2 linked regions of the Canis lupus familiaris genome follow. The main gene of each other region encodes a partner of the protein of the gene in region 2 in a complex. Links are inferred from orthologs where the notes say so. Each region holds a gene or a part of one and is shown on either strand. Other genes may lie near its edges.

What was found.
Region 1: the proteins of MDC1 (region 2) and PELI1 are in contact, whole or in part, in a crystal structure (PDB 9IF9), measured with the Homo sapiens proteins. The link is inferred for Canis lupus familiaris from reciprocal best matches to the Homo sapiens genes MDC1 and PELI1. Residues at the interface, in NP_055456.2 of Homo sapiens: Glu761, Asp762, Ser763, Glu764, Thr765, Gln766, Pro767, Phe768, Asp769; in NP_065702.2 of Homo sapiens: Arg104, Ser105, Thr106, Glu107, Thr115, Asp116, Val130, Gln131, Ser132, Thr133, Ile134, Ser135, Arg136, Phe137, Thr185, Asn186, Thr221, Arg222, Ser223, Ala224, Cys247.

Annotation. Positions count from the first base shown.
Region 1 is NC_049231.1:65,017,826-65,025,713, forward strand, and holds the end of PELI1 (E3 ubiquitin-protein ligase pellino homolog 1), read right to left. Parts: intron 5,471-7,888; coding exon 5,273-5,470; intron 5,175-5,272; coding exon 4,986-5,174; intron 4,432-4,985; coding exon 3,865-4,431; 3' UTR 2,007-3,864; downstream 1-2,006. UniProt on the Homo sapiens protein: E3 ubiquitin ligase catalyzing the covalent attachment of ubiquitin moieties onto substrate proteins. Involved in the TLR and IL-1 signaling pathways via interaction with the complex containing IRAK kinases and TRAF6.
Region 2 is NC_049233.1:635,957-643,844, forward strand, and holds part of MDC1 (mediator of DNA damage checkpoint protein 1), read right to left. Parts: coding exon 7,033-7,888; intron 6,322-7,032; coding exon 6,256-6,321; intron 6,091-6,255; coding exon 5,998-6,090; intron 5,421-5,997; coding exon 4,656-5,420; intron 4,541-4,655; coding exon 4,497-4,540; intron 4,019-4,496; coding exon 2,012-4,018; intron 1,934-2,011; coding exon 1,814-1,933; intron 1,686-1,813; coding exon 1,503-1,685; intron 1,288-1,502; coding exon 1,162-1,287; intron 1,051-1,161; coding exon 940-1,050; intron 1-939. UniProt on the Homo sapiens protein: Histone reader protein required for checkpoint-mediated cell cycle arrest in response to DNA damage within both the S phase and G2/M phases of the cell cycle.

The sequences.
Region 1 (7,888 bases), on a different chromosome or scaffold from region 2:
TTTGATCTATGCCACCATCATTTCTTTTTTTTTTTTTTTTTTTTTTAAATTTTTATTTATTTATGATAGTCACAGAGAGAGAGAGAGAGAGGCAGAGACACAGGCAGAGGGAGAAGCAGGCTCCATGCACCGGGAGCCTGACGTGGGATTCGATCCCGGGTCTCCAGGATCGCGCCCTGGGCCAAAGGCAGGCGCTAAACCACTGCGCCACCCAGGGATCCCTGCCACCATCATTTCTTTCCAGAGTTACTGCTATGGACTAACTGGTCTCCTCATTATCACTTCAGTCTGTTTGCATTAACTAAAACCTAAGTTGGATCACGTCACTTTCCTACTCAAAATCCTCCCTAGAACCCCCATCTCACTCAGGATAAAAGCCAAGCCTCAGGAGGCAGTCCATGGTCTAGTTTCATCCCTTTACCTCTTTGGCCATACCTATTACTCCTCCCTCTTACACTACATAGCTACGCTTCCATTCTATTATGGAAATATTCCAAGCACACTTTTACTTTAAGACTCTTGCAATTGCTATTCCCTTTGCCTAAATGTTCTCCTCCTAAGTGCAGCTTTCCCTGGCCCTCTCCCCTTTAATATCGCGAACATTCCACACACATCACCCATGGCATTTTGTATCTCCTTTATTTGTCCCTTCAGCACTGTTCACTACCCATCATGCTGTATCTTTTATTTTCTTACTCGTTTCTATCTTCCCCACTAAAACATAAGCCCCAAGAAGGCAGGGATTCTTTTTCCTGTTAAATCACCCAAAGTGGTTTGGTGCAGAGCAGGTATTGAAATATCTGTTGAAAGAATGCATAGATAAAATTTGAGGGCATGGTCTTAAAGTATACATATTTATGAAAGTGGAAGTGGGAGACAGAATAATATAGTTCAGTAAGCAGTATTTTGGTGATCTCATTTGCTACATGCTACAGGGTTAATGCTTGGATCATAAACACAAAAGAATGGATCATAGATCTTTTAGCCAGTGTCCCTAAAGTGGGATGGCACAAGATGATCCATTAGGATGAGGGGCCGAAGTGTTTAAATTTATAAGGTAAATATAATTCTAAGAAACGATGGATTTTCACTGGTGCCCTCACTCACTCAGTCTACGTGTCAGAAGATCATGCATCACACATGGTTCTTGAAGTATCCTGACGGAAGAGTAGAGTAGGAGTATTCATGTTAGATGTAATTATATATTTATTTACATTATTACATATTCCTATCCTATTTTACATGTACCAGAATATTTTTAAAATGATGGAAGTAAGCAATTACAGCTTCAAGATGATAGCCTGGAAAAGGATTTCTCCTTCTGGATATTTACCCTGTCTCATTTCATGACCCTAACATGTTAGATGAAGGAAAATTCCCTAATATAAATTAAGGAACATTTAGATAAGTAAGATCACTTTGATAAAAGAGTTAAGCCGTAAATATTATCTTTCTTTTGAGTATATTTGGGAGACCTAAATAGAACTTTTTCTCCTTGACCAGAATACTGATATCCCCTTAATACCACTGAGTAACTAAGTGTTCTATTAGGTGTTAGCAAAATGACAGAACCAATATTCAAAATGCTTGGATAAAAAAACACCTCATCACTTAAATTACCTGAGTTTTCAAAACTTAAATTTTGACAGAAAATGAACCAGACTTTTCACAGTTGGGAGGAGGGAATTCAGGCACTTTGGGAAGAACATGAACCTTTTATGGTCACCGAAGCACTGTTTAAAGAGTCTAGTATTCAACTTGCAAAAAGACAAATCTCTAGTAGGACTTAACTAAAGCTTTAATTATTCAACCACTGAACAAAGTTCCTTATTAATAAGTAAGAGATGCTTTCCCAAGAGAACCAGAGATTTAAAGTGTTACATTAAATACAAATTCTTCATCTATTTCAAGTGAGTATTTGTGAAGTGGGGGGGTAGATTTGTCCCCAAGTTTTCATTTCTGGTTTCCCATTCTCAGTTATGCAAAAACGAACTCACAGAGACAAATTCAAGTAACTATTTTGAAAAGTATTTACTTAGTTTGAATAAATTAATTGCAAATAAAAATTAGCTACAATATATAGCCTGAATAGAAATGACTAGAACAAGTACAACACAGGACTTGATTTCCTTGCATTAGTCACAAAGCATGTGACTATCTAGAAAACTTCAAAATCAATTATATTTCTTTGAAAAGGGGGTAACAGCAGTTACTGATACATCACAACTAGTAAACTTATAATACAGGTTTCCTGACATGCATTTCCTGAGTGAACCCAAATGATCATTTTAAAAACAAGGAAATTTTGACAAGTTGAATTAAAGTAAAATAGTTCATGGCTTCTAAGCAACAGATTTTTTTTTTTAAACCAAAAGAAAATTCAGAACAGCATAGTAATAGTTACGATAAATTAAAGCTATACTACCACATACGAAAATTTGCTAGAGGCAATTATAACACAACTTTTGAACTAAAGGAAAACAAATCAAAAGATTAAAAAAAAAAAGATTCTCTCTAGTCTAAAAGTGTACTGATTTCTACAAGTGTCACAAAGGGTTTGATGTAGTGCAACTGTCTATACTTCCCTTGTGGTGCATTAAAAAAAAAAGGGCAGGGAGGGAGTGAAGAAACGTTTTCTTGCTTCTTTAAGTGAAGAACTTATTGGAATTAGAGAACAAACATACCATGCAAGTATGTTCTACTCGGCTGTCACTGGTGCTCATCTGCCAACCAAACATTCTCTTGAGTCACACGGTGGCAACTCTCTTTAGGATTCAAAGCCGACAAAGTTAAGGCGGGTCTGCTAGTTTAAAAAAGGGGGGTGGGGCACTATTGTCATTGAACCCTTTATATCTCTCTAGATTTCTTAATGCCTAGGTAAGACCACACGCAGAATAATCAATTAATTATTTCTTTTTATAAAAGCAAATCAAGTCACTCTCTTCCTTGTTAATGTATGCTTTCTCTCATGAGAATGATTTTTTTTTTCTAGAAACAGTGAACAGATGAACCACAGTTTATATCTAAAAAATAAACTTGCCAAATGTTGCTGATACTAAAAACAGATTAAGTTATCATGGGAGAAAAATAGATAATCTAGATTAAATTGCATATTCAAAGGAGCATATAAAATGTTTTTAGCATTAAGTTTTGTTATATACTACACTTGAGAGAAACATTAAGAAAAAACTTTCCTGATTATATTCAATGTGGTTAAAAACAAACAGCTCTTACACAATAATTAATATGAATTTGGTTTTACAAAGTATTCTAATTTACCAAATTCCATATTTAGAAGAGGGTGGGGAGAGAGGCTCTCTTGTCCTTTCTAAGCTTGCAAATCCTTGAGCTATGCTCACTAAACTACCGTTCACACCAAGAGTGTGACACCATCGTTACCATGCTACTCTATCAAGAACATTCTAAGATATTTTCTATAATAAAGATAAATAGAAAAAAGTTAATATACATGTTGCTGTATTTTACAATGTTTGCAACAAACTGTAAACTAACATAGTTTGAACCAACAGTACCCTCAGTTATATAAAACAATTTTTCAACACTGAGGATGGGTGATTCAAAAACACTAAAAGGAAGGCAACAAATTAGACTATGTCTTTTTATCCTCAAAATATATTTTCAAAACTCAGAATTCATAAGTCTGGTACTTTCAGAAATTCTTTTTCTTGAGTTTCCCAGATTTTCTGATCAGAAATTGTTACTATTTATTATAAATGTTTAAAAAAATTCTTCATCTTAATGCAAATGACCAGAGCAGAGAAACTGTGACATGGACAACAGGTTGGAAAACCCAACTCACTTAGCTTATAAATTTATAATGTAGTCCTGGAGGACAACTGTCTGTTAGTCTAGAGGTCCTTGGAAAATAAGTCTGATGTAGCCTTGTTCACCAGCCAACTGATGTGCACAAAAGGGGCAGGCTGCATGAAAAGTATGAGTACCATGAGGAAGCGGGATCTGGGACCAATAGGCAGTTGTCTTTTCTGAACACACATGCCCACATGGGCTGAATGCATGGGTTGGAGGGCCGGCGTCCACATAAAATCCAGCTTCACATCCAAGCCACAGAGGGACATAGGGACCAATAGACCTACACATGGGACATTCACGATCTTTTCCATCACGTTCTTCTTTGTTTCCCCAGTTATGATAGCCATGCACATGGCCGCAGTTTAGGTATACCCATGGCTGTTTTTCATCGACAACATCTTTCCTCTTCATACTAGGAAATGCTAGTGTGTTGAACCCTACAGGGCACTGAGGTCGTGCTGCATTGATTTCCTGTCTTAAAGCTTCTAAATGCTTCACTGTAGGAGTGTGGGAAAGGCCTTCTGCAGTACGCCACAGCAATGTTGCACCGCAGAGGTCAATTAATGAGCCATCTTGTAACTGATTGGTTTCAATTTCCACCTAAAGGAAATAAGAATCGAAAAACACATTCACCATTTTGTTTTCAATTTTTACATGAGAGTTTTGGTCTTACATGCTCCTTACTCAAGAATTGAGATTTCCTATGATTGTTACTAAATATAAGAATGGCAGTCATGAAAAATGTAAGTTTGAAAATCAAAGATAAAATACTGAATAGGAACATATATCTTTTTAACTTTACAGTGAAGATAGTTTATGACTAAAACATCTAGCTACTCAGTAAGTCTAATATTTCCAATATACAACACGGTCAAAGAGATATAAATAGAAAATACACAGTGCTATTTAATTTAGGAAAGCTTAGGTTTTAAAATGTATTAACATAATATGAAAGAACAAATTTTTAAAGTGTCTTGATTCAAACATTAAGATATTATCCTCTAGTTTAATATTTAGTGGTCAGTGTTTGATAGCCTTAAGTACTCTATGTCAGCAAGAGATTTTAAGAGTTTTTGGAAATAGATAACGCATTCAGTCCAACCCACCCTATGTGTTTACTGTAGCTAAATAAGAAGCTCCATCTCAATACTTACCATTTTTCCTCTCTGCTGAGCTGATCTGGTTTCCCGCAGGCTAAATACATTTCCACACACTGATATTTCTCTCCATATTCCAGGCTTGGAGTCTTCTGTGAACCCATTACGTGGATGCATAACAAGAACGCCATTAGTGGTTAAACCATCCATCTGCCCATCTGACGTCTTCCATTTGGCAGCCTTCTCCTAGTAGCAATTAGAATAGTGAGCTTCCATTTCTTTTTGTAATTTGGAAACAGAAGTGGTTATAATATAATGCATCATTTAGGAAAAAAGCTTTTTACCCCAAGAAAGATGTTTTTTGATGAGTCAAATCCTGCAGCATAAATCCGTGCTGTAAAGGGGGGATTCCGTTCACATATGATTCTACAGGCAAATCTTGATATAGTGCTTTGCACTGACTGTGTATCAGAATTACTTTGGCTTCCAGGAACTGTGTCAGTTACTACAAAATCAATGGGACTTTCAGTCGACCGACCAATCTAAAGGAAAAAAGAAATGTCTATAAACCTACTGGAAGGAACACAATGGAAAAATCCATTCAAGAAAGATACAAAAAGGTGAAATCAGTAAGCCTCTGAAATTTCTAGAGCTCAAACTTATACTTAACTCTGAGAGCATCTACACCCTGGAAACCTAATCTGTCATACTTGTTCTGACATGATAATCATTTAGAGCATAGAAGTAAGTGGGAACTTACCATCCAGAATATATAAAACCCTCAGGGAATGCAGAGTTTAGCATGGCTGAGATTTCTAGATGGCTGGAAACTTTAATTTTAACCCCTTTGGAGGGAAATATGCCTAACATGTATTACTCTACCTTCTTCAACAGAATATAGTGAACACACAAGTAAATCTTTTATGATGACTCCAAGACATTGAACTATAAATACCATTTATATTATACTGAATGCAGTGATGTTTCAGGTGCTATAAAGGTGTACAAGAATGCTGATCCTTACATTATGGGCTTATATAGCTTTGCTTTGAGGCCTTATGCATACTTTATAGATATTTTTGTGTGTTTTCTGTCAAGTTGTCAACTCCCATTTCTTGCTATTAGGCATATTTGGTTCTAGCAGCATACCCCTCCTCTAATCAGCCACTATTATTCTGCTAGGGTTGAGGAAAAAAAAAAAAACAAAAACAGACTTCAAAGAATAGTATTTCAAAAGGTTCTTGGTAAGATCTTAAAGGATTCTCCAGGGAGCAAAGAAAAGGAATTTTAGTACATGGCTTATGTGGCCTTTATTTTATATACCTGGATGTCCTTTTTATTTTCTTCCTGTTTCTTGGCCATTATTTTAGAGAGACAAGGTTCCCAGATAAGAGTTTTGATATATGGGTCAGTAAATTAAAACATCTTCAGAGGTACCACTAGCAAATAAACTAATTTTCATTTTGAAAGATGAAAGTTGAGAAGAAAAAAAGAAATAGATGACAGAACTGATTGTCTTGGGGTTTTATTTTATTTTATTTTTTAAAGATTTTACTTATTTATTCATGAGAGACACACACACACACAGAGAAGCAGAGACACAGGCAGAGGGAGAAGCAGGCTCCATGCAGGGAGCCTGATGTGGGACTGGATCCTGGGTCTCCAGGATCACACCCTGGGCTGAAGGCGCCACTATACCGCTGAACCACCTGGGCTGCCCTGTCTCGGGGTTTTAAAGTAAACATTTAAAAATGAAAGAAAAAAGGAAATCTGGAATAGAGGAGAGTGTCACAGGGTTTTAAAGTAAACATTTAAAACTGAGTTCATTCATATATTTGTTATCAAGTAATATAAAACTGAAGTAGATATTTAGAAAAAAACACTGACCCTCTACAAAGATGATGACACTTCAAAGACATTCTTTGCATAGCTGAGTCTTAAGAATTCCTCATTACCACACACTTTTGGAGAAAATCCTTTTAGCATTTTTGTCCTATCATCAAGCATGTCTTTCTTATTTGGATGGTTTTAGAAGAAAACTGGTTAGTTAACAAACTTAAGACTGCATGTCCCTTTTCCTGCTTTTTAGATAACATTTAAAGAAAATGGTCTCAGAAACTTTTGAAACTAAAAATATTTCTAAAAATAAAAGGTTCTTTTAGATCCAAAAAATGCAGGCCCAGGAATGGATTGAGGATTGATATTTAGAATCAAGATATTCAGAAGTGGCACTCAATTGGGAGGGGAGATTGTTCCAGAAGAGCTGATACTTGAGCTGAGTCTTAGAGATTTAAGATATCAAAGCAATATTGGTTAAGATAGGTCAGAAGGAAGAAACCTTAAGTATCCATGAAGAGAAAAAGCCTATGTGATCATGATCAAAGTGCCAAAATGTAACTGTGTTAAGATAAATTTTAACAATTCTTCCTCTAACTGCTACAATTAGCTTTAAAAATATAGAGCTCATGTCATTCCCTCCCACTCTCATTAAAAACCCTAATGGTTCCTTCCTCACAGACTATCCAAACTTCTTAGTTTCTTATTTCTATAATAATTAGAAATTGACTTCACAATTTGCTTCCTACCGATCCAGCTTAGTTTCCTATCATTGCCATTCATATGAAAAGTATATTCTAGCCCCAAGCAGCCCGTAAATCTTCTACTACACCACTGTGTACTTTGTGATCTCTTTTGTCAGAATGCCTCTCTACTGGCTAGACTGACAAAATCATACTCACTTGGATGACAAAAAAAAAAAAAAGTCTGGATAAAAAGTCACTACTGTGACATCTTCCCTCCTCTTCAACCCAATCAGAAACTTGTACTTCACATTTAGATTGCCAGTATAACACCTATGAATATAACCAAATTATAATGTCTCCTTTATTTACTTCATAGTGTCAACCAAATGCAGAGAGTTGGAGTTTAAATAGCTAATGAATTACAATAAATGTTCTTGT
Region 2 (7,888 bases):
CAGGTGCCAAACTGCTGAGCCACTCAGGCATCCCTATTCAAGCTTTTAAAATTAACTATAGTTTATAAGGAATGTAAAAGAACAAGATAAATGACACAGCATGGGGGCAAACAGTAAAACCCAGACGGGAACATTCTAAAAAACAGCTGACCTAGTTTCTGCAGGAAGTCAATGGAATAAAAAAAAAAAAAAAAAGCCTGGGTGGGTTGGGTGGGGGGAAGATCTTCTAGAGTGAAAGAGAATAAAGAGATATGCAATTGTGGCAATACATAGACCTTGTTTAAATCCTGATTTGAACTGTAAGGAGAACTTTTTGGCCAACTGGAGAAATCTGACTAATGGAGTATGAGAAAATGACTAAGAAGCTATTGTTAATTTTGTTATGGATCAATAATTGCATTGTCATTACGTTAAAAAAAGTACATAATTTCTTAGAAAAGGATACTTTAAGTATATAGGGGGAAATAATATGATGTATGCAGTTTCCTTTAAAATAGTTCAGCAAGGGACACCTGAGTGGCTCAGCAGTTGAGCGTCTGCCTGCAGCTCAGGGTGTGATCGCAGGATCCAAGATCAAGTCTCACATCGGGCTCCCTTGGAGGAGCCTGTTTCTCTCTCTACCTGTATCTCTGCCTCTCTGTCTCTCATGAATAAATAAATCTTAAAAAAAAAAAAAAACAACAACTAAAAAATAAATTAGTTCAGCATAGAAAAACAATACATGAAGAAAATGTAGCAAAATCTAAACTACCTTGTTAATTCTGAGTGATTGATATATGGAGGTTCATTGATAATAAAGGTTCTCTCTGTATGTTTGAAAATTTTTAAAATACAATACAAATAAATCCACTTGGAATCAACAGACTTTTCCTTCATTCCTATCCCTTTACATACTACAGGGCTCCCTTATCCCCTCAATACTTGTGTTCCCACCCATACCTTATAAGACCGGGGCATGCTGGGTAGTACAGTGCCTCCACAGCAGCTGATGATCTCTCCCATCTGAGGTGGTGGTGGCTGGACTCCTGGAGTCACATGGATCTCATAGCCCTAAGAGAAAGAAAATGGTAGAGGCCACAGATGTATGCACTGAGAGGCTATGAATAGCTGGGGAACCTCAGGAGGGAGGGTTGGAGCATGGGGCACAAGACAGCCTCCTACCTCCAGCAACCTTTGCTCCCGAGCCCGGCTCAGGGCATCTCGAAGGCTGAAGCCAAAGTTCTTCTCCTGCTCAGGATCAGTCACCACATATTCATCCGGGGGCAAAAAGCAACCAGCCTTGTGGGACTAAGGACAGTAGCAGTCAGCATCAAAGCTCAGCCCAGCTCACCACCCAGCTCTTCTACCTAGCATTTGGAGGGAGCTTACAAAATGTTTTTTGAATTAAGCTTTCTGCTTCACTCACCTCCCTTGTCTTCCTGGGCCCCTCCTTCCCCTTTCTAGGGCACCCTAAGAGTAGTTTTCTGCCATGGTACCTCTTCTGTCATCTTCTAGCCTCTCACCTGGTGGAGCCAATCCAAGGAGAGGATGGGAATCCCCCGCCCCAGAGCACACAGGAACTTGACCGTACGGCGGACTCGATCAGTCACCAAGTGGGAAGCCTCTGCCACTGAGCTGGCCAGACTCCCCCCCAGGGCCAGCACTGCCCGCTCACCACGGGCATCCACCACTCCTGTGAAGAGAACCTGCGGAGGGAGTTAGCCTGAGCTGGACACAGCAACCCATGCCATCAGCGCCTGTTTCCAAACCCGTTGGTATCCTCCCATCCTCCCACATCTGCCTCCCACCAAGCCCCATGCCCCTTCTCTCCTACTTTGGGGACTGTGGACTCTTGGTTAGGTTTGGTTCGTCTAAGACTGCGGCTTGGGATTCTCTTGGGCTCCTCCTCTGCTTGGTCTCTCTTTCTCTTGCCTGGTCCTGGAACCACTACATCCTGGGATTGAGAAAGATCTTGCTAGGAGTTTCGGAGCCTCCAAGCCCTTTCCTAGCTTCAGTCAGGCCCTGTCCTCACCTCCTCCTCCCTTGGCCTCTCCATTGGATCTTCTTCCTCCTCCTTGAGGAACACTGTCTCCTGGGTGACTTCTCCTCTTTGGTGCCGTTTTTGAGGTGGGGGTGAATCCACAGTAGCCAAAGGCCTCTTGTGGCTCTGAGAGGCCTTAGGTGGGGGCCCCAGGGTGAACTCCGATCTGCCTGCTGCCTCCAACTTGTAGATCTGGGTAGCATGAGTGGGGGCTTCAGGAAGCTGGGCAAAGGCCGGCTTGGGAATGGTCCTGAGGGACTCAACTGTTCTCACTGCTCTTTGTCTTTGGTTCCTTGAGGACCGAGATTTAGGTTCAGGGAGTGCAGAGTAGGGCTCACAGATAATGGGAGCTATAAGGGACTCATGGTTCCTAGTGGCCCTCAGCCTCCTGCTGCAATTGGCTTGAGAGATGGGCTCAGGGGGAATAGGCTGGTCTGTGGGGACAGAAGGCTGGAATTCAGGAGTGGTAAGAACTGGCACAGCACTTATTGTAGAAGACCTTAGCATCTTACCCTGACTTCCCTGAACCTTGGGGGAGAACAGTTGATCTGTGGGGGTGACAGATTCAAGATCAGGGGCTGTGGGTTCAATTGGCTGGGGCATCTTGACAAAGGACCTATGTGTCCTGCCCCGAGTGGCCCGAGATGTGGGCTCAGGAGTGACAGGCTGATCTGTGGAGATGGAAGGCTGGGGTTCAGGCACTGTGGGGGCAACTGGTTCAGGGGTCTCGATAGAGAACCTTTGTGTCCTACCCCGAGTGGCCTGAAATGCAAGTTTGGGGATGACAGGCTGGTCTGTGGGGGTACAAGCCTGGAGCTCAGGGACTGTGGAGACAACTGATGTGTTAGTCTTGCTAGAAGACTTAGGTGTCCTGCCCTGAGATATACGTTTGGGGGTGACAGGCTGGCCTTTGTGGGTGGTAGGCTGGAGCTCAGTGGCTGTGGGGACAGTTGGCTTAGGAGTCTTGAGAGAAGACCTGTGTGTCCTGCTGTGAGTGGCTCCTGATGTGGGCTCAGTGATGACAGACTGGTCTTTGGAGGTAGACGGCTGAAGTTCAGGAGCTGTGGGGACAGTTGGTTCAGGGGTCTTGACAGAGGACCTACGTGTCCTGCCCCAAGTGACCTGAGATGTGGGCTCAGGGGTGACAGGCTGGTCTCTGGGGATAGTAGGCTGGAATTCAGGAGCTGTTGGGACAATTGGCTCAGGAGTCTTGACAGAAGACCTACGTGTCCTCCTGTGAGTGCCCCCAGATGTGTGCTCAGTGATGACAGACTGGTCTTCAGAGGTGGAAGGCTGGAGTGCAGGGGCTGTGGGGACAGTTGGTTCAGGGATCTTGACAGAGGACCTACGTGTCCTGCCCCAAGTGACCTGAGATGTGGGCTCAGGGGTGACAGGCTGGTCTTTGGAAGTAGAAGGCTGGAGCGCAGGGGTTGTGGAGATGTCTACTTTGGGAGTCTTGACAGAAGACCTAAGTGCCCTGCTCTGAGTGGCTGTGGAGACAACTGGTTCAGGAGCCTTGACAGATTTACGTGTCCTGCCTTGAGATATGGGCTCAGCAGTGACAGACTGGTCTTTGGAGGTGGAAGGCTGGACTTCAGGGACAAGGAGTTCAGGGGTCTTCAGAGAGGACCTACGTGTCCTGCCCCGAGTGACCCGAGATGTGGGCTCAGGACAGAGGGGCTGGTCTGTGGGGATGGTTGAGTGAGGTTCAAGGGCTAAAGAAGAAATTGCAGAGAGTGTCTTCCTGGAGGACCCTCGGAGCCTGACTTTGGATTTTGGGTACAGAGGCTCCATCTCTGAGGATAAAGGAGTCCCTGGAACTTCCTGATTCCCATTTTGCCTGGTCCTGGGAATGGGCTCTAAAGAAGATGGAGAGGAAGAAAGGAAGGGCTGAGACACAGGATGTTTTTGACTCTGAGAGAGGAGGGGGTTGTGGTGTGGGGTTGAAGCTTCAGGCACTGCAGCAGGCAGATGAGCATCTGCGGATTCCTGATCACCCTGAGGAGAAATAGAAGTAAGTGAGGGAGGAAGAGGCAGAGAGAAGAGAGACAGTACTTGGATACTATTCTTGATACTTGTTTATTGTTAGAGTGTGTTCCTGGCACTTCACTTGTCTGTGACCTCCCTTCATGAGACTTGGAACTTCCTAGGGAGGAAGCAGTCCTCATTCCCACAGACCTATCCTCATGCCAGTATAGTGTTCCCCAGAGATGGATGATGGTAATAAAAGGATGGCTGGAAAAAGATGGGAAAGACATGAAAAAAAAAAAAAAAGGACATTCTAAGTCAGGCAGAGGGAGACAGACCTTGGGAAACAGATACAGAAAATGATAGGTGTGAAGGGAAAGGTACAGAGCCAACTAAGGAGTGGTGACAATGGAAGACAATTGGGAAGATGGAGAAAGGAAGAGATTAAAGCAAGGTCAGGGGAAGGGGCAACAATGAAATAGAGGGAGGTAGAAAAAGCAGTTCTCACCACAGAGGCCTTCTCAGCAGGTGGCGCCTTGCAAGTCAGGTGGCCTAGACAGAAAGTGAAAAAAAGTGTATGTAGCTGGGGTCTAAGCACTCAGCCACTTAGGGGTTGTTTAGCACAAGTGCTGTGTACCACCTTAGGTTCCCCTCTGCCTTCACTTACCTCTCTCCTGCCTGCTGGGGCTCATCGGGGCTCCACCTGACTGGCTCCCAGAAGCTTCTGGGACTGAAGCAAGTCCCTGCTGGGCCCCCATCCCTGCACTAGGCTCTGGTGTTAGACTGGAGGCCTGCCCTTCCTGGTCTTGGCTCCCTTTCTCTATCTCCCCTCTCTGTGGGCCTCTCTCCAGTTTTACTTCTGGTACCTTCATGCCTAATCCACTTGGCTCACCCTCTCTCTCTACTACTGGTTTCTCTGCTTCTCTTTCAAATATTTCTCTTGCAATAGACTGCTTTTCTGTCTCTTTCTCTTGTGCCTCCCTGGGTATCTCAATTTCTATGTTTAAACTCTCCATGTTCCTTTCAGTACTTGCACTTTTCACCTTTTGGTCAGACTCTTGTCCCTGATTATCTCTAGCTAACACCCGTATCCCTCTAGTTAACTCTTCTCCTAACACATCTTCTCTCTCTCCTGCTGGCAGCTTCTTGGTTTCCCTGTCCAATGGGCCTCTCTCAGGGGCCACCTCCTCTGGTGCTTCTCTTGGTGTACCCATGTCTTTCTCCACAGTCTGCATCCCTCTGCCTTGAATCCCCAGTGGCTCTGCATGAACTGGGCTCTCTGGATGTTGGGCTTGTGGTGCTGTCCTAGGTGTAGAGGGGCAAGATCCATGGGCATCAATGTGGGCAGCAATGGGCTGGGGCTCAGAGGCCTCAGACTCTCTTGGACAGAATGGCTGTGTTGCCAAGACTTCCCACGGCTCATCCAGGGCACCTGGAAGTAGAGTCAGGGAGAGAGAGACAGAGAGAGACAGAGAGACAGAGAGATAGAGACAGAGAGACACACACACAGAGAGAGAGAGATGCAGATTGGGAAAGTAATAAATAGGATGAGAAAAGATTAAGATAAATTCATGAATAATAGGGATGCCTGGGTGGTTCAGTAGGTTAAGTGCCTGCCTTCGGCTCAGGTCATGATCTTGGGTCCTGGGATTGAGCCCCACGTGGGGCTCCCTGCTCAGCAGGGAGTCTGTTTCTCCCTCTCCCTCCACCCCTTCCCCAAATCGTGCAGGTGTGCTCTCTTTCTCTCCCTCAAATAAAGCAATAAAATTTTTAAAATAAAAAATTCATGAATAATAAACCTAATAATCATAATCATAAGCTGGTCATTAAAGGAAAGTTGGGAAGAGGACCAAAAAAATAAGATGCATACAGAAGTTCTCATAGCAGCCTCTTTAAAAATGATGGAGATGGAGAAACGTCAGTAAAAAGTCAAAGAATATGAAAGAAACATGTAAAGAGAAAAAGCAATGATGCCAAGTTAGGAGCATGAAGGATAGAGTTTCTTATACCTGAGGCCTGGAAGCTGTAATAGGAAGGGCCAGACTCTTGGGGTAGAGTAGCCAGGAAGGCCTGAGTGGCTTCATCCTCCATGCTCTGGACTGCTGCAGAAGAAAAGCTGGCTCACGCCTAGCTCTTCCACAGAACTCTGGGGACCCATTCTTGGCCTCCTGCCCCACCTACACCAGCTTTCACAACCTTCAAGGACCACCAGTCTGGGCTCCCAGCTCCCACTTGCACCAACATCCATACAACACAGATGCCCTCACCTTCTGGGCTCTGATTCTCTCTCTCCACAAAGCACTGGGTAGCCTGTAGGTCCAGGTCTTCAGAATCTGATGGGGGAGCAATATAAGATAGATAAGTCATATCTCATGCTTAACTCCTTACTCTTTCTCTACCATTTTCTCCCCAACCCCAAGCCCTCTACAATGGACTGAATGTTTGTATCCCACCCAAAATTCATATGTTGAAACCTAATCCCCAATGTGATTTTATTAGGAGGTAAGGTCTTTGGGAGATGATTAGGTCATGAGGGTAGAACCCACTGAATGGGATTGGTACCCTTATAAAAGAGACCCCACAATTAGCTTGTGCCCTTCTACCATATGAGGACACAGTGAGACAACAGCTGCCTATGAACAAGGAAGTAGGTCTTCATCAGAACACAATCATACCAGAACTTTGTTGTTTTTTTTTAAGATTTTATTTATTCATAGAGACACAGACTGAGAGAGAGAGAGAGGCAGAGACACAGGCAGAGGGAGAAGCAGGCTCCATGCAGGGAGCCCGACGTGGGACTCGATCCCAGGTCTCCAGCAGGATCACACCCCGGGCTGCAGGGGGCGCTAAACTGCTGTGCCACTGGGGCTGCCCCATACCAGAACTTTGATCTTAGACTTCTAAGCCTTCACAACTATGAGAAAGAATTTCTATTGTTTATAAACCACCCAGCCTATGGTATTCTGTTACAGTACCCCAAGTGGACTAAGATATTCTATAAGCGTTCTTTCTTTTCGGGGTCAAGGAAGAAGGCCAGCACTTACCACCATGGTTGTCTCCACAGTTCTTGGTCCTGTCCACATGTGGTTCTCTCTTCCTTTCTGTGGGGGTCTGGGCTCCCTCTTTCTGTGGTTGGATGGTTTCTCCTGAAGTGCCTGTGTCCACCACCAGATCTATAAGGTTCTCCTTTGAGACAGGGAGAAGATCTTGCTCCACCTGTGATACAAGTGAAACCCCCTGGGCCCTCGCCTCAAGAACTCTCTCCTGCTCAAGAACTGGTGCAGCCGATTCTGTCCCAGCATCCCCTTCTGCTAGAAGCTGGTGCTTTCCAGTATCTGCCACCAGTGAGGCTGCTAAGGATGTGTCCTCCTCCACATCTGTCCCACAGTCCTCAGATAGAGGAGGCTGGGGTTCCCCTAGGTGCATCACAGGCAGCTTTGCTTGGCCCCCTTCTACTTCCACATATGTTTGATCTGTCCATACCACAGGCACCTGATGCTTCTCCACAAGTATAATAGCTGGTCCTGGTAGGACTTTCTCTTCCACTTGTGTGATGTCTATGGTGGCAGAGGCTTGATTTCTCTCCAGGTGGACCTCAAGTAAGCTCTTATCTTCATCTACCTCTAGATCACTGTCTTGGAGAGGAAACTGCCTCTTTTCTGAGCATGCCTTGTCTGTATGACACTTGGGCACAGTTCTTCTGTTTTCCATTGGGAGACCCTCCTCCTCCACGTCTGTCTTACTATCTCTCCCAGCAGAGGTTTGGCTTGGCTCCAGAAGGGCCACAGGTTGGGCCCTGTCCTCTTCCACATCTGTACCTCTGTTCCATGTATCAGATCCGCTCTCTTTCAGACGTGCCAAAGTGAGTGCTGCTAAGACTTCTTCCTCATCATCTGTATT